Linked DNA regions of Mus musculus. The protein of the gene in region 1 binds, or shares a complex with, the protein of each later gene. Links are inferred from orthologs where the notes say so. Each region holds a gene or a part of one and is shown in the gene's direction. Other genes may lie near its edges. The genes, in order: Nmt1, Aifm3, Hpca and Ncs1.

Region 1 (4,240 bases):
ACAAATAGGAAGGCTCTAAGCCCTTGTCTTTGGGCAATCTTCTCAGGATTATGATTAGACTAGCTAGTTACAGGACAAAGCCCAGAGGGACAGAAGCATTTAGGCAATTCTAAGATAGATGCTGCATTTACCTGGCTATAACTGATTCGTCCTTGGAAGTTGCCTGGATCCAACAGTGTGACTGGTGTGACGGTGAAGCCTTACAGAGGGCACAGAGTAGGTAGATACAGATTTATAGACAGATTTTGCCGCCTACAAACAATGTACCAACTTTTCTGGAACAGTCTTTTCATCTGTGAAAAAGGAATAATAATGGCATAACACATTCTAAGCTTGTTAAAATTATAGGAATTCAGGTACAAAAAGTCTTACGCCAGAGCCTGGCGTGTAAGTGCTCATTAAAGTCTTGTGTTGGGAGTAGGGGAGCTCGTGAGGCCTCAACCCCAGACTAAGAACTACAGGCAATTAAGGAAGGCTAAAAATGGGGGAGGAAATAGTTCTTCCCAGGCACACCAGCCCTGAAATCATTTGCATACAACATTATGCTTACTGAACGGGCTATATTTATATATTTAGGAAAACACACACACACCCATATGTAACAACAACTAAAGAAAAAGAGGCCATGAATTTGAGAGCAAGGTGGGGTGTATATGGGAGGGGTTAGAGGAAGGAAAGGGGAAGTGGGGAAATGGTGTAATTATCATAATCTTAAAAAAAAAGACTTGTTATGGAAGGCTCTAGAGGAGAATCAAAGGGAAATGTGAAGAAGAGCGCAGTGCAAAATTAGAAGCCAAGAAATGGTAAGCCTCCCCTGCAAGCAATCAAGTCTTTGGCTCGGGGGCAGTGTTCCACACACCTCAATGCACTGCCTCTCGGTTTTAGATTTCCAAAGACCCAGGTCTCCCTAAAGGCTGGAGTAGGGAAGGCAGCCGAGAGCAAACCTATAGGAAAGTCCTCTGTAAGGGCATTTGAGCTCCTGGAGAATCGCAGCCATGAACCTCAGTGTCTTTCACTTACCCAGGAATGGTAACGGTCCTTAACGTTAGCCGATAACGGCTCATCTGTGGCCTGTTGATTACCAAGGGCGGCCTGAAAACCTTGGACTTTGCAAGCCCTTTACTTGCGAAACTCTAATTCAACATGGAACTGCAACTCCCAGCGTGCCCCGCGACCACCCTATAAGGCGTACAGCGCCCTTCGTCTCAGAGGGCGGCCGAACCTAGGGGCTTCCGGAATTGCTGCCCGCTCCTCCCAAGGCAGCGTCCCTTCATGATTTCTGGGTTTTGTAGTCCACATCGGTACAGTTTTTTGAAAACAAGCCACCCTTAGTGGCAGATTTCTTCACACAAACTACAAAACCCAGAATACAGCGCGTACTTCCTCTGTCCAATAGGAGCCCTCCATGTAGCGGGGCGCGGAGTCCGGCTCTCGCAACCCAAGATGGCGGATGAGAGTGAGACAGCAGTGAAGCTGCCGGCACCTTCGTTGCCACTGATGATGGAAGGGAATGGAAACGGCCATGAGCACTGCAGCGATTGCGAGAACGAGGAGGACAACAGCCACAACAGGAGGTAACGAGATCATCGTAGCCCAATTCCTGTCCGGTCTCCCACAAGCTGGGTATCTGGGGTGCGGGGAAGTCACCGGGAGCTTAGTCTAACCCCACCCCCATGTTCTTATTGGCTAAGCCATTGAGATCCTACCTAGCGATTGGTTTTTGTCTTTGTCACTTACCAGGATGGGTGCTCAGATATTAAGGGTCGGAGACATGCAATACTTTTATTATATAAAAGTTCTGTTTAGTGTACCACTCCCTTGCTTTAGGCACGATGGGGGAAAAGAACATTTTGAACGGTAGATTTCAGTAGTACAATGCAGAGCAATCTAGAAGCTGCGGTTCAGAAGGAACGTTACTTATAAAGGTGTATGAGAAACGTGACTAGCCATAAACTAATAATAAAACATTTCGTTGTAGTTCACGCTCAATGAGGAAATTCACTAGGCTATACAAGCCATGCATATAATTATGTTGTAAAATATAACTGCCAGACAAGTCCGAAATATAAACTCACTATGATCCTATGTTATTAGTGATGTGATGTTTTGATTTATTCAGTGTCTGTTGCCTCAAATAATCGGTGAAGAGTCAATTTCATTGTACCTTCACTTTGTTAATTTAGTGAAGGGCCTCAAAGCTTCAATAAACTGATGTTGCTTCTTGGAGAACATGTGGTATTTGTGGGGTACTACTGCACGTCTTGTACTTTAGGGTCTCCCTGGGGTTTTTTGTTCGTTATGTTTTGCCTTTTTAGACAGGTTCTACTGTGTAGCTATGGCTGGCCTGGGGCATACAATGTAGAACAGATTGACTCCAAACTTGGGGTGATGTTCTTGTCTCTCGGGTATGGGGATTAGTACTGTTACAGGTCACTGTGTAGGTCAGGGTCTTACTATAAGTAATTTCAGTCTTTTGTTAGTAGAGAAGAAGAAATGGGCCAGATATTTGAGAATTTGTATTTGTCTTTGTTTTTCCAATCAGTACATCAGTAAGCCAGTCACGAAAAATGATGTATTTAAGTTCATATTATTTTCCTGCTGCTCTAACGCCCCCACCCAATATGTATGTATGTATGTATGTATGTATACATATGTATATTTTTGTGTAGAGACTTGTGGGTGTGTGATTGAGTGGTTGTTTGTTGTTGTTGTTGTTTTTTGTTTTTGTTTTGTTTTGTTTTGTTTTTTGAGACAGGGTTTCTCTGTGTAGCCCTGGCTGTCTTGTAGACCAGGCTGGCTTCGAACTCAGAGATCCACCTGACTCTGCCTCCCAAGTGCTGAGATTAAAGGCGTGTGCCACCACTGCCTGGTGGTAGTTTGGTTTTTATAGCCAGATTTTGTTATAGCCAACTTGCCATTAGCTGTAGCCGGCAGCTCTTAGCTTCCCCCTAGCCCCAGTTAAAGTTGAGATGAAGATAGAAGTTTGTAACCTTTGGCTACACTCTATTTATTCCTCTGTCTTAAAGATGGCTGAGCAAAGGATTAAATGATCAGTAATCTGACTGTGGTGAGTTTTAGGCTTAAAAAAAAAAATCCAGCCTCTTGTTCTCTCACCAGCATGGGGGGGAACAAAAATCACAAGAATGTGGCAGAGAAGAAAGCTTGCCAGCCTTGATTTCACGACTGTTCTGTGGTTGTAATTCACAGCAGATCCAGTGTAACAGCCTCCTTTAAGACAGCTATTCCCAAGAATGGAAGAGCTGAGAAGGAGGAAGTAGGCACTGGAGGAACACAGGACAGGCCTCTTGAGGGAGAAATCTTTCAGATGAGAGGGCTGAGTGTGAAAGTCCCTTCAGAAGTGGAAGTCCAACTTTTTCTTTGTTCATTCTATAATTGCTCTAATTTTCTCTGTGAAAATGTTGCCCCAACCGATGTCAGTATTTTTATTTTATTTTTTTTTAATAGGTTTGTATGCTGAAAAAAACCACAGTTTACAAAACTTTGCCAAGACTTGAGATCTAGTTTGGCCATAGAGCACGTTCTCACCATATTGCAGGCCCTGGTGTTCAGTCACAAGCATGAAAACCAAGAAAATCCTGTTTGCCAGGAAGTTCTTTGTTTTAGTTGTGGTGCCACAGAGTGATAGCTCCCTTTTCCCAAAATCTTTAGGGGTGACCTCCCCCCACCCCGGGGGGGGGTGTTTTATTACAGGATATGGTTTGAGTAAGCAAATTATATTAGTATGCCAAATCGAGGGGTCCGTGAAAATGAAGTAGTTTGCAGGTGGCACGTGACAAATGAAGGACCTAGTCAGGAGCTCCTTCTGATGCATAGAACCAGCATTTTCCGTTAACTATCAAAGCAGAGTAAGTGTTTTTGGAAGGAGACAGCATCACCCTTGGGAAAGTATGAACTTTGGAGTCATTGATACCTACTTTGAGCAGGGTGTGGTGGTGCAATACACCACCACCACCACCCACTCCCCCCAACCCCACCCCACGGTTTCTCTGTGTTACCCAGGCTGCCCTGGAACTTACTCTGTAGATCAGGCTGGCCTCACCAAGATCCACCTGCGGCTGCCTCTCAGGTGCTGGAATTATAGGTGTGTTCTACCTATAATTGCACCAGTTGGTACAATCCGTTGATCCCAGTGCTCCAGAGGCAAAGACAAGTGGATTTCTGAGAGTTCAGGACTAGCCTGGTCTATGTAGCAGACCAGCCAGGACTACATAGTGAGAGT
Region 2 (4,222 bases), on another chromosome or scaffold:
AAAGAGGTGGGCAACGCTGAGACATGGGTGAAACCAGGACCTCTGAAAGGGTTCTCTGGTTCCCAGGAAGGGAGCTAGAGGGGCAGTTAGCAACTGAGTTTTATCCCTTGAGTTGTCTCCTCTTGCCCCGACAAGGGCCTTGGGTTCCTCACCTGTAATTTGCTTCGAAGGTCAGAAGCTAGCAGTGGCTGGTCCTTTCCCATTCTGTATTTCCTTCTTGACATGGGGACTGGGCTAACCTAGTGACTCCCAGCACGGTTCAGTGCAGGCTTCAGGAAGAATTTCCAGGTGACCCAGAGCCGACTGTTGGGTAGAATTTGGACAGATCAGTTGTAAACAGGGTAGTTACACCTTTGTCTTGAGCCTTCCAAAGTCCACATCTTCTAGAAGGCCCACCTATGGCCACAAGGACACAATGGCCACAGTGATCTGTTTACCAGGTAGTCTTGCTCTCCCGTTTGGAGCCTTAGAGTGACCTGAGCACGTCCCAAGGCCTTGCTTATCTTAGGATTTATTAGGGTGAGGAGTGGGGAAGACCACACAGATGCCCCTAACTGCTGCTTGACCTTGGTGAGACCTTGGACCCCAGTCTTTCTATCTTCTTCAGCACTGCACAGCCGCCTGAGGGGTGGGGAAACTTATGGCTGCTGGGCTGCTGGGCATGGGGCAGAGGCAGAGCTGTGCGCTTGGTTTCCCTCTTCCCCCAACCCCATCAGTCCTGGGCTGGCTGCCCGCTTTTTTCCCCACAGAGCTGGGTTTCCCTGGGGACCAGTGGCTTGGCCTAGCCCCACACCCACAGCCCCCTCCTGGCCACAACTCATGCTAGAAGGCGGGCTGGACCCTCCAGGACACTGGCCTTCCGTGCCCTGCTGACCAAGGCCCAGTAGTCTCTCTCCATTGCTGGGCTGGGAGCAAGGAGCAGTGACTCCCATGGAAAGAGGTAGGTGACTAGAGGTTGCTAGTCAGGGCAGTGGCCAAGGCTGGGCTGGGACCCTTGTCACTCTCAGTGGAAGAAGAAGGATTCTGGGGACTCTGGTTGTCAGGGTTTTCTGTAGACGTGGTGGTCTTATCTAGGGAAATGGAGAGTCTCAGAGTCTCCAGACTTGTGGGATTTAGAAAAGGGGAATCTAGGGCTAGGTCTATGTAGTCGCAGGTTTATGGGCAGTAGCAGATATTAGAGCACAGAGGGTCTCCAACAAAGGATGCAGTAAGGGGAATCTGAGGTTCCTATGCCTAGAAGCCTCAAAGGGAGACAGATGCCCTACAAACAAGATCTGCCCTCCTCATGTAAGACTCTTCCAGGATTCCTCAAAGATGCCTCTGACTCTACCCAGACCTGCATCAGTGCTAGGACCCAATTTCCCATCTCCCCTGCAGGTCCTAAAGCTGTCTAGCTGGCATGGCAGCTCTAGCGTCTCTGAGGGCCACAGGGGGTCCAGTCCTGCAGGGCACATCCTAGACCTTGGACAGCTGGACAGCCTGCCATCGTGCTCCCACCAGCCAGGCCAGATCCCAGGCCACCGTTCACCATGGGCGGCTGCTTCTCCAAGCCCAAGCCAGGTACCTCCCCTTCTCTGACAGCCTCCCCCTCCCTCTGTACTTCACCAACCTCCAAAGTAGGTCAGGCTAGGCAGGAGCCCAGAATGCTAATGCACTGCAGGCAAGAAGGGTAAAAACCTAGGAAAGCTCTCCTGGACTCCTCTCCTGTAGCATCCCCCTTTTTATTTGGGACTTTGGGTGTTAGTGGTGGGGACAACAGCTGATCCTTCTTAGAAAGTTGAGTCTAGAAGGTTCCTCTTATGCTGCGCAGAGCTAAGGGCTACTTCTCCATTCTGGAGAAGAGAGGCTTTGGGGGATGTTCTTAGCCACAGTGTAACCTCTTTGAGTCTCAATTTCCCTCTCTATAAAATAGAACTGGACACTGCCCTCTTAGGGTGACTGACAGGGTATCATGGACAGGTCCCTACTCTTATCATCCTGTGACATATCAGACATCATCTTGGCTTCTCTGGGCCTCATCTCCTGTTTTGTGTTTTTGTTTGGGTTTTTGTCTTTTGAGACAAGATCTCACTATGTAGACCAGGCTGGTCTCATACTCACACAGATCCTCCTGCCTGTGCCTTGCAAGTGCTAGGATCAAAGGCATGTACCACTCTTCTGTTTTCTCCATGTATATAGGAAATCTTGCCTAGCCCTAGAAACTCCAGCCAGGGGTAGGATCATTCCAAGGTACTACAGTACTTAGGATCTACCCTGCCAGGGGACTCATGTCTTTGGGTTTCTCCCTCAGTCTGCACATTCCTTCTACCCTAGTCGTAACATCCAGAAAGCAGAACCTGTAGCCATGACAGGGATGCAGAAACTGAGGACTTCAGAGCCCAGTGAGTGCTCCACCCACCCAACTTGCCCTGGCTGGCTCACTCTGCCAGCTTGCTCAGCTCTCCTTACCTGATACCCATCAGCTCGGTTACCTTGGGACTCATAAGACTTTTCTTCCTTTCTTGGGTCTGAGGTAGGACTTGGGGGAGAAAGCGGAGCTGTGACCCACCCACTGGCAGTATTGGTGAAGATTGTCCATCCTCGCCTGAGTCTGTGCCAGATCCTACAGCCTCTGCCATAGGTGCCCACTGTCTTTGTCTCAGTTTCTTCATAGAGTGGGCAGGAATGTGCCTGCAAGATCCCATGGGAGTCCCATACTGGGCACCTGAGGGACTGCTTGGCTGGCAGGACATGGTGGGGACAAGATGCCACTCAGTCTCAATGAGCTGGCCTAATCAGGGACCCCTGACTCAGCACTTCAGATCTGGAGCTAGCCATTATCCCCTGACCTGAATCTTGTCAGTTTGCTTTTGTAATTTTTTTTTTTAAGATAAGATTTCATCTAGCCCAGGCTGGCCCCAGACTCACTATGGGGTTGAAAATGATCTTAACTTAGCAGCCTCCTATCCCCCTCACTGGTGCTAGAACTGCAGGAGTGTACAATTATGATCACTTTTACTTAGTACTGGAGATAGAACCCAAAGCTTTGGGAATGCCAGGCAAACATTCTTCCAGTTATGATGTTTGGTTTTTTTAAAAAAATTTTTAAAGACTTATTTATTTTATGTATTTTATGTATGTGAGTACATTTTGCTCTCCTCAGAAGAGGGCATCAGATCCCATTACAGATAGTTGTGAGCACCACGAGGTTGCTGGGATTTGAACTCAGGACCTCTGGAAGAGCAGTCAGTGCTCTTAACCACTGAGGTATCTCTCCAGCCCTGTTTTTTAAATTTTTATTTTTATCATTTAAATTTTGTGTGTGTGTGCGTGTGTGTGCTCGCGTGTGTGTGTGTGTGCGTGCATGCGTGTGTGTGTGTGTGTGTGTGTGTGTGTGTGTGTGCGTGCGTGCGTGTGTGGGTGCGTGTGTGTGTGTGTGCGTGTGTGTGTGTGTGTGTGTGTGTGTATGTGTGCGTGTTTGAGTGTGTGAGTGAATGGAGGTGCATGCAGAGGTCAGGAGAAACAGGTGCCCTTGGACTAGGGTAATGGCTGTTCTGAGCCACCTGGCTGCTGGAACTCAAACTCAGCTTCTCTAGAAGAACAGTATGTGCTCCAGCACTGGTTCTGTTTTGTTTTTTGTTTGTTTATTTTTATTTTATAAAATGAGCATTTTTGTCTTCGTGTATATAAATGCATAGCATGTGTGCAATGCCTGTAGAGGCCAGAAGAATTCATCTGACCTCCTGAGCCTGGAGTTACACATGGTTAATTGTGAGCCATGGTGTGGGTGCTGGGAATCAAGCTGGGTTCTCTGCAAAAGCAACAAATACCCTTGACCTCTGAGCTGTCCTCACCCCTTCCTTTCCTTTCATTAAAAGACAGAGTTTACTATGTAGCCCTGAATGACCTAGAATTCACTACTTAGACCAGGCTGGTCTTGATTGTACTGTGAGCCTCCCATGTGCTGGGATTACAGACCTGAGCTAGCATACCCATTTTATGTTTTAAAAACTTTGTGTTTTAAGGGATGATAAGTTTATTTTGGCTTACAATTTGAGGGTCACATTCTGTCATGGTGAAGGCCTGGCTGCAGACGGCTTTGTGGCAGAGAGAACATTCAACAGCTCTCTTTCTCTTTCTCCAGGAACTTACTGTTCTGCTCTGGGCTGGTCTCAAAGTGTCTGGCTATTCTTACTGCCCAGAGACAACATTCAAACTTGGGTTCTTTAACGTCTTGGCGGTG
Region 3 (4,082 bases), on another chromosome or scaffold:
CTGCTGCACAGGAAGGAGTCAGACCCTCTATTTAAGACAACAAAGACTTCCGGTCTCACCTGAACTGCAATCTGAAGTGTTCATCGCTCTACCACTGCTCCAGTCTGTCTCCAGATTGCTTACCTAACACACTCCAGAACTGATTACGCATGCTACGTTCTTCTGCACGTGTGTTATATATATCATTGTTTCTTCTACATGATTGCAATCCCCTGTCTGAAACCATGCCAAGTGCAGAAGCAATGCCTGGAAAATCTTTTTGAAATGGATGAACGGCAGCTCCTGATTTCAAATCACTCGCTAGCTGCCAGACATTGGAAGTATACAACCCTTCTAACTCTCAGTGTCTGCAATGTAGAACACAAAAAGATCCACATCCTAGAGACGAGACGGGGGGGGGGGTGGGGGGGATGGGGGGGGGACGGAGTGGGGGGAGGACAGCATTTAGCTCAGGATGTAGCGATTGTTACCAGAGCTGGAGGAGGGAGAGTCCCTTACAGGCAGGAGGAGTTGTGACCCCATCAGCGCCTCTAAGAGCAGCTGTCCTTAGTACAGACGGGAGGCATACCCACCTGAGCACCCCCACCTCCCAAGGTGGAGATGCTTCCGTTCTCGCAGGTCACGGCCTGCACTCACAGAGGCTAGGAGAGGAGAGGAGAGGGTTCCTTGCCTGGAGGAGTACTGGGAAGAGCTAGGTAAGTGGATGGTGAGAGGTGGGATTAATTCTTAGAGGGGTTGGGGGATGACATCCGGAGTAGTAGGCAGGAGAGGGGGGCGGGCTCTCTGAGGCGGAGGTAGCAGGGGGCGTGTCTGGCCCCTGGAAGACCTTGGGACTGAGCAATGGGTGCTCCCTCCTCCCTAGAGAGCCCCCAGTTCATCTGGCTCGGGAGTTGAGGTGCGGGGGCAGCGAGGGTGCCTATCGGATTCCTCCCTCAGAGCGACAGGCGGCCCTGCGCCCAGGTAGGGGTGGATTGTTCCCGGCTTGGGAGAGCAGTCCCTGGACACTGACCCGCCTCTTTCCTTGCCCCTCCGTGTCGACTTGTAGAGCTGGGGGGTCCCGATCTTTCTCCCAGGGTGGGGTGCTCCCTAGAGAGGGGGCCGGGGCAGCGAGGGCGTTCTGTTCTCTCTCCCGGGAGGGGGCGGGGGCGGAGCCTAGCTACCAGTGGGGGACCCCCCCAGGGGAGGGGCTCCGGGCCAACGCTGCGGGGCGTCTCCCTCGCAGTCCCGCCCGCCCCTCCGGCCGCCTCTGCCGCCGCGCGCCGCAGCAGCGCCGCCTTCTCTGCGCAGTCGGTGTCTCGGCGTTGCTGGGTGAGTGGGGGCCGCTCTGGCCGGGGTCGGGGATGAGGGGAGGGAAGCCCGGGAGCCAGGAACCCAAGTCCAGGGCTCCCCAGCCCGCTCCTCCCTGAGCTTCGTGGGATTCCTCCCACCCGCGGCGCTGCAAGCCCGGGGCTGCCCCTGGGGAAATCGCGCGTCGCTCTCCAGGGTCCTGACCGCCAAGTGGCCGGCTCCTGGGAGTCGCGCGTCGACCGTCCCGGGCGCCCCCTCCAGGAGGGACCTCGAACCCAGTGCGGGAAGAATGGAGGCGGGGGATCAGGGCTGGAGCCGGAGGAGGCTTGGAGGGGATGCTAGGGCGGGTTTCTCAGATAGAGCTGTGAGGTTCCTTCTATTTTGGGCACTGGGGGTCTTTGAGGAGAAAACAGGCATTTCTTCCAGCTGGGAAAGGAAATGCTGAGGGTGGCCGAGAGGAAGGGGCACCTGGAGGAGCGCTTCTGCTCAGCGCATCACTCTGCCCCCGCCCCGCTGACCCAGTTCCTTGGACCTTGAGGAGGGGAGTAAGGGACACACTCCCTTGCTCAGCCCTGCACATTTCCTCAGTCCCTTCCCACATACTTGTTCTGTGGCTTCTCAGCCTGGGGCAGAAGAGGCTAATCCAGAAAGGAGGGGGCACCAACTTACAGGAACATGCATGACACACACTACTGAGGACAGATACAGGTCTCCTCACATTCCTGGGGAACATTTCTCTCTGTGGCAGGTGCATACCAGCTCAACACGCATATTGAATTCACATGCAGCCATGCATAGAAACGCACAGGGAGATAGATGCGGTTCAGAGCCCAGGACCCACATCATGGGTGAGCATACGCATTCAACATGCACCCACACACATGTGCACACACGTGTGCATAGAGCTTCATGTACCTTCATGCACAAGGAACCCTTTTCACCCTGTCTTGCTCGTATATCCAACCTCAGGGGACACTTGCACACACCCCTACACCTATGATTATGACTGCCTGTCTACTTCCCCTCCATTGCTTCTGCTCAGCTTCACACTTTAATTCCTGCCCTGAGGGGACCTTTTGAAACCGGAGAAAAGGTGAGTGATGAAGGAGGTCTGGGTGGGCTGGGTAGGGCTCCCCAAGAAAAAGAGTCCTCATCAGGTCTGGGAAGGGCTGCAGCTCCCTCTCCTGGGACCTGACAGCACCTCGGGGATAGAAAGACAAATGACAAGGGTGCCTGAAGGTCCCACGTGCAGCTGGCCATGTGAGAGGTGTCGGCATTCGAGTTGGCGTGTAATGGCATGTGTGAGACATGTGGGGTCGTGGGCTGGTGTGTCTTGATGCACCGTGTATGGGAGTTTGTGCGTGGTGCCATGTGTCAGTGCGTGTGAGTTGTGGGGCAGTGGGATTGCTGTGTGTGGAGGCATGGCTATCCATGTGTGGTGGAGGCAAGTATGTGAGTGTCGGAGAACCTAGGGACCTAGGCACTTGGTGATCTGTGTGGCTTTATGTGTGCTGGGGACAGGCATTTGTGGAGTCTGAATACAACATGTATGTAGCACCTGCCCACTCATGCATGATTCTAAGGGCTCACAGGTATTAACTAGCTTAATTCCCAAGATAACCCTATGAAGTAAGTACTATTATTAAACCCACTTTGTGATTGAGTTGGAGAGTTTAAGGAAATTGTCATCCCTTCTCGGCCTTTTGGCTAAGATCAAGTATAGGAAATTGTCCAAGGCACATAGCTGGTAAGAGGGGAAGCTGGATCTCCATGAGTTCGAGGCCAACCTGGTTCTATAGCGTGAATTCCAGGACAGCCAGGACTACAGAGAGAAACCCTGTCTTGAAAAACAAAAACAAACAACAACGTATTTTAAAAAAAGAAGGAGCGCCGGGATCCCAGCCCAGGTGATCTGGCTCTAGGGTCCAGGTTAATACTTCTTGCTAAGCATATCTTCAGGAAGAAAATCGGACAGTGTTGGGGCAGTAGGTGCACTGTGGGGTCAACAGACATCTGGGAAGCCATGAAGGGGGCAGCAGGTGAAAAGGGGGACTCGGGAACTTTTCTGCACCCTCCTAGGACACTCCGGGAATCAGCATTGCCGGTAGTGTCCGTGTGACTGAAGCAGATCATTTTGATTTTCTGAGCCTCCCTTCTCATGTAGAAAATGGAGCTAACCCTCAGATTTCCCTCTGGGAGGGTGAAAACGTGTGCTTGTGAATGGGCTTGACACGGAGAGCCAGAAGGGTGCCAGTGAGTGTGAGCTGGTCCCTTCCTTCTTTGGGTCTGTTCTCCAGACATGCATGTCACAGAGCAGAGTGCAGGCTGTGTGATCTGGGGCCCATCTCTCTCTTTTCTTGGGTCAAATGAGACTTTGGGCTATCTTGTGTCTGAGGGCCCTTCTGGAGACGTGTCAAGGGACTAAGAGGATGTAACCATTGCTCTCTGTCCTTTCACTTCCTTTGGGGGCGGGGACCCAGGTGGGACTTGGCTCTTCTGCCATGGGCAAGCAGAACAGCAAGCTGCGGCCAGAGATGCTGCAGGACCTGCGAGAGAACACGGAGTTCTCTGAGCTGGAGCTACAGGAGTGGTACAAGGGCTTCCTGAAGGACTGCCCCACTGGCATCCTCAACGTGGATGAGTTCAAGAAGATCTACGCCAACTTCTTCCCCTATGGCGACGCCTCCAAGTTTGCCGAGCACGTCTTCCGCACCTTTGACACCAACAGCGACGGCACCATCGACTTCCGGGAGTTCATCATTGCTCTGAGCGTGACCTCGCGTGGCCGCCTGGAG
Region 4 (4,270 bases), on another chromosome or scaffold:
GTATCGAACGGGCTCTTCACACCAACAAGCTGGGACCTGGGTCTGGCCTGGGCTCATGTAAGGGAAGGAACCGAGACCATCTGAAGGCTGGAGACATGCAAGAGGTGGGGTTGAAAGGTACCATCGCCCCAGGCAGGGTTTTACACCCTCTGAGAGGGAAAAAAAGAAATTCTGTCCGTGATTGCATCCCTGCTGGCTCAGGAGGGAATGGCTTCATCTTGCCATGGTCTTTCCAGGGCTCTGGTTCCTGGCATGGGTCATTCCTCCCCTACCCGATCTATTTTCATGCCTTTCCCTGAGAACTCTTCCTCCTAATGTTGTCTAAGCCAGTTGTGAACCAGGGATCCTACTGCCTCCCCACCCACTTCCCTGTTTAGCTGGGCTGGCTCCCTGGCCTCTGCTACTAAGACTGGCTCACAGAAGTTGCCACTGGCCCTCAGGGCCTTCTGAGAGCAAGACATATTTCTGCTCCCCTCCCCCTGAGGCTCATTCTTTGGAAGAAGCAAGCGCCAATGGACTAAGAGGTCCAAGTTTTCCTGAGCTGTTAAGGAGACAGAGTTGGGCAGAAAGTCAGGAGAGGTCTCAATTACGATGACATTTTGGGAGGAGGGGAGAGCAGGCCATCCTTTTCCTGGAGTCCTTCCCCAGCTGCAGGCTTCCAGGCATGGAGCCCCACCAACAGGCTCTGCTCCCTCTGGCCACTTCAAGCAAGCCCCACAACAGAGAAGGTTTGAACTGCAAGTACTCCTGGGCACCGGGGACAGAGGCCAGGTCTTTGGGGAAAGCGGCTTGCCAGGCTGGTCTCCAGAAGCTCTGGCCCTTCTGCCTGGCCTCAGATCATTCCCAGCCTTGCCTGGAGCCCCGGGTGTAGAGGCTGCTCTCCCTCCCAGGCCAGACCCCTTCCAGGTTGATACCCCATTCCTCTCTCAATCTGAAGTCACTTCCCTCAAGGCCAGGCAAAAGTGTTCCCACCGAAACCCATGCCAGCCAGCACATCAGGATGCTCCTGGAGAGGTCTGGGATCGCGTCTGTCCTCTTGGCCGCCAGGTCCCCAGCGCCCAACACATCTAAGTGGAATGAATGAATTGCGCCGGGCAGGGATTTGGCCTCGTTCACGTCCGATTTTCCGGGCCCTCCCTGCCCACGCCGCTGCGGAGAGGGGGGAATGGATCGGCGGAGGGGGCGGTGCGGCGACCTCCCAGCGTCCCCGGAGAGCCAACAGGAGAGGGGGTGCCTCAACGCGGAGCTCGCGCCTGTCGGAGCTGGGCGGGAGGTGGCGCCGGGCGATGAGTGGCGGCTCCGAGTCCACCCCTGGCGCGCCGGTGCGGGCGGGAGGCGGGGAGCGTAGGGGCGGCGGCGGCGCAGCAGTAGCGAGCATGTGCTACGCAGCCCAGTAACCAGGGACGACCGCGGCAACCGAGCCCCGGCGGCTGCGGCTCTCAGCCCCGCGCAACTCCTCGCCGTGGCCGCTTGCACCGCCAAGGCCTGGCCCTCGCCGGGTCCCCGAGGCCCCTTGAACCGTCAGCCGCGGTCGCGCAGCACGCCGGAGCCCCGCGCACGGGACGCGCGGGCACGGCCAGACAAAGGCGCGGCCCCGGCCCGGCCCAGCCCGGCCTGCCGGCCTCCGCGCACCCCGGCCCGACCCAACCGCTCCCGCTGGGCGCCCCGAGCGGGTCCGGCCCGGGGAGCGGGGGCCGCGGCCGCCGAGCATGGGGAAATCCAACAGCAAGTTGAAGCCTGAAGTTGTGGAGGAGCTGACCAGAAAAACCTACTGTGAGTGAGCCCCGATCCCAGATCCCCGATTCCCCATCGAGCCGCGACCTTCCCTCCGCCCTTCCCGGCCGCGCCCCTGCCCCGCACCTGGCCCATTGTTCTATCCGCGCCCCCGCCCCCGGCCATGGCTGGGTGTCGCCTGTCAGCGTGCTCCAGGGACCACTCTGGGTCCTCAGGGCATCCGCAGCCCACCCGCTGCTCCCCTCCTGTCCGAAGGACCCGGGCTGTGCCGGGGCGGGGGGCAGTGGTCCCAGGAGGGGGCGCCCGGGCGTTGTGTGGCTCTCCTGCTTGGAGCAGGGTGGGTGGGTGATTCATGCTTAATGATGCTGCTGCGGCTCCTGCCTCTTGCGAGGTTGGCCTGTCGCCCCCTCCCTGGCAAGTGTGACTGTGTTGGGAGGAAGAGGGCTGGCGAGACTGGTAGAACGCTCAGGTAGTGACGGTAGAGGGCCAAGGGTCCTGGGCGCCCTCTTAGATGTCGCACGGTTGGGCTGTATTCTCCATCCCCCCTTCCCTTCTCCTGTCTCTACCGCACCAGGAAATGGGTTTACATGGCCCGAGCTGACGAGCGAAGGAAGGTCTGTCCCACTCCACGGTCCACTAGATCAGTCCCAGGCGTGGCTCTCCACTTGCCCAACTTCACAGATCTGCCTCTGCATCTTTAGTGCCTCCACACCAGGTGTCCCCCCTCCTCGCAGCCTCTCCAGGGGTGGCCCTGGAAGTGGGTCCTGGGAAGCTTTGGCTGAGCGCTCTGCATCACCCGGAAAGACAGGCAGTTAACTGACAGCTCGGTGTAGATGGAGGCTCTGGTGCAGTGCATGGTCTCTGCTCTCACCCCCACCCCCACCCCCGGTATCGGTCTTCTGAGCACGTTTGCAGGTCTTGGTCAACCTAGTGCCTTAGCCCCATGCTCCTCACTCTCCCAGACTTAGAACAAAGGGGGCTTTACTGCCTGGGCTCTCCTGGCCCCTGTCCTGAGGAGTTGGACACCTTGGAGGTCACATCCAGGAGAACTATCCTTCCCAGCCCAGGCTGCCTACTCTCTCTTTCCAGATTGGGTGGGTAGCTTTTTCTAGCTTGTTGCTGTTTGTGAGGTTAACTGGACCCTCGAAGGTGTGGCTCACAGCCATTAGCAGGTAGGCTATTGGTGGGACACCCTCCCTCCCTGAACGGGCCAGGACCCCAGGGTGTGGGGAGGGTAGAGGGCTCCATGGACTTCTCCAGGAACCATGGCATGTGGTGTACCATGCTGTCTCCATGATGGTGAGGCTGGGGGCCACCAATGAGCCCTGTGAAGTCAGGGTCCTGCTTACTGAGTGTGTCATGCACCATCGGCTGTGTCCTTAGCACAGCTGTACATCAACAGCTTGTCCTGTTCTGGGCACTCCAGCTGCTCATAGAGAGGAAGGCAAGGCTGGGAGATGTGAGCTGGCATCCCTGGCTTATGCCAAGAGCCCTCTGTGCCTCTCTTTCCTACCCTGGCCCAGTGCTGGATTTGAAAGACCTTTCGTTCAGCCCCATCTCTGAAGGGCTGGCCATTAACTTGGGAAGAATGGGGCCAGCAGAACTCTTGTCAGGCACTGGCCTGGTGAAGTTCCGCTGAGCTATTTTTAAAGGGCTTTTGTGATGTGGAGCAGTTTTGTTCAGGGATTGAGGCAGTCTGGGCACTTCCCCCTCATCCAAGGCCTCACTTAGGGCTGGGGGACTCACTTGCTTCTCTCTTATCTCCCTGTGAACACCAGCTCCCTCCAGGCAAGTCTATGTGGTTGGTCCACAGCTGCGCTCTCTCTCTCTCTTTCTCTCTCTCTCTCCCCTCTCTTCCAGGGAAATACTGAGTAGGGAGTTAAGGGACGCATCATCCAGGAAGGATTCCCAAATGTCACCATCTCCTATCCCTGCTGCTTGGCTTGCTCTTCTCTTAGGTCTGGGCTGAGCTCTGGAGTTGAGTTCTTGACAGTGTGAATTATGAGGCCGGAGAGATGCTTTGTGCAAGCATGAGGACCCGAGTCAGGTCCCCAGCACACACCTATGTAAGCTGGATACTGTGGTTCATGCTTATAACTCCAGCACGGGGAAGGCAGACATAGAGGGATTCTGGGAGCTCACTGGCCAGCCAGTCCAGTGAAATGGCCAGCTCTGGGTTCATTGAGAGACACCAGCCCAAAGAATAAGGCGGAGGAGCTGGAGAGATGGCTTAGCGGTTAGGAATGAGCACTGCTCTTCCTTAAAGACCAGAGTTCAATTGCCAGCCCCCACATGTGTGGCTCACAACTGCCTGTAACTCCAGCTCAATGTGAGCCACAGTCTCTGGTCTCTATGGGTTCTGTATTCACACACACAACTGCTCCAAGCTCCTTGCACATAATTAAAAATAAAACAAACCTTTAAAAGCAAAGGAAGGTGGAAAGCTGTAACATCCAGCATTGACCTCTGGCCTTCAGCTGCAATCGAAAGGGTAGAATACATCTACACACAAACCAACACACAGAACAAGAGTGAG

What was found.
Region 2: the proteins of Nmt1 (region 1) and Aifm3 are in contact, whole or in part, in a crystal structure (PDB 6SJZ), measured with the Homo sapiens proteins. The link is inferred for Mus musculus from reciprocal best matches to the Homo sapiens genes NMT1 and AIFM3. Residues at the interface, in NP_066565.1 of Homo sapiens: Tyr180, Val181, Glu182, Asp183, Asp184, Asp185, Phe188, Arg189, Phe190, Asn246, Thr282, Ala283, Gly284, Tyr296, His298, Phe311, Tyr401, Ser405, Ile469, Gly470, Asp471, Asn473, Leu474, Leu495, Gln496; in NP_001373743.1 of Homo sapiens: Gly2, Cys4, Phe5, Ser6, Lys7, Pro8.
Region 3: the proteins of Nmt1 (region 1) and Hpca are in contact, whole or in part, in a crystal structure (PDB 7OWM), measured with the Homo sapiens proteins. The link is inferred for Mus musculus from reciprocal best matches to the Homo sapiens genes NMT1 and HPCA. Residues at the interface, in NP_066565.1 of Homo sapiens: Tyr180, Val181, Glu182, Asp183, Asp184, Asp185, Met187, Phe188, Arg189, Phe190, Tyr192, Ile245, Asn246, Phe247, Thr282, Ala283, Gly284, Tyr296, His298, Ser300, Lys310, Phe311, Ser312, His313, Tyr401, Leu403, Ser405, Tyr420, Gly468, Ile469; in NP_002134.2 of Homo sapiens: Gly2, Lys3, Gln4, Asn5, Ser6, Lys7, Leu8, Arg9.
Region 4: the proteins of Nmt1 (region 1) and Ncs1 are in contact, whole or in part, in a crystal structure (PDB 5O9S), measured with the Homo sapiens proteins. The link is inferred for Mus musculus from reciprocal best matches to the Homo sapiens genes NMT1 and NCS1. Residues at the interface, in NP_066565.1 of Homo sapiens: Tyr180, Val181, Glu182, Asp183, Asp184, Asp185, Met187, Phe188, Arg189, Phe190, Tyr192, Asn246, Thr282, Ala283, Gly284, Arg295, Tyr296, His298, Ser300, Lys310, Phe311, Ser312, Tyr401, Leu403, Ser405, Tyr420, Gly468, Ile469, Gly470, Asp471; in NP_055101.2 of Homo sapiens: Gly2, Lys3, Ser4, Asn5, Ser6, Lys7, Leu8, Lys9.

Annotation. Positions count from the first base shown.
Region 1 is NC_000077.6:103,027,129-103,031,368, forward strand, and holds the start of Nmt1 (glycylpeptide N-tetradecanoyltransferase 1), read left to right. Parts: upstream 1-1,414; 5' UTR 1,415-1,443; coding exon 1,444-1,574; intron 1,575-4,240.
Region 2 is NC_000082.6:17,490,544-17,494,765, forward strand, and holds the start of Aifm3 (apoptosis-inducing factor 3), read left to right. Parts: upstream 1-1,377; 5' UTR 1,378-1,529; coding exon 1,530-1,560; intron 1,561-4,222. UniProt on the Homo sapiens protein: Induces apoptosis through a caspase dependent pathway. Reduces mitochondrial membrane potential.
Region 3 is NC_000070.6:129,118,448-129,122,529, reverse strand, and holds the start of Hpca (neuron-specific calcium-binding protein hippocalcin), read left to right. Parts: upstream 1-1,226; 5' UTR 1,227-1,308; intron 1,309-2,329; exon of another isoform or gene 2,330-2,380; intron 2,381-3,767; 5' UTR 3,768-3,788; coding exon 3,789-4,082. UniProt on the Homo sapiens protein: Calcium-binding protein that may play a role in the regulation of voltage-dependent calcium channels. May also play a role in cyclic-nucleotide-mediated signaling through the regulation of adenylate and guanylate cyclases.
Region 4 is NC_000068.7:31,244,470-31,248,739, forward strand, and holds the start of Ncs1 (neuronal calcium sensor 1), read left to right. Parts: upstream 1-1,453; 5' UTR 1,454-1,709; coding exon 1,710-1,773; intron 1,774-4,270. UniProt on the Homo sapiens protein: Neuronal calcium sensor, regulator of G protein-coupled receptor phosphorylation in a calcium dependent manner. Directly regulates GRK1 (RHOK), but not GRK2 to GRK5. Can substitute for calmodulin. Stimulates PI4KB kinase activity.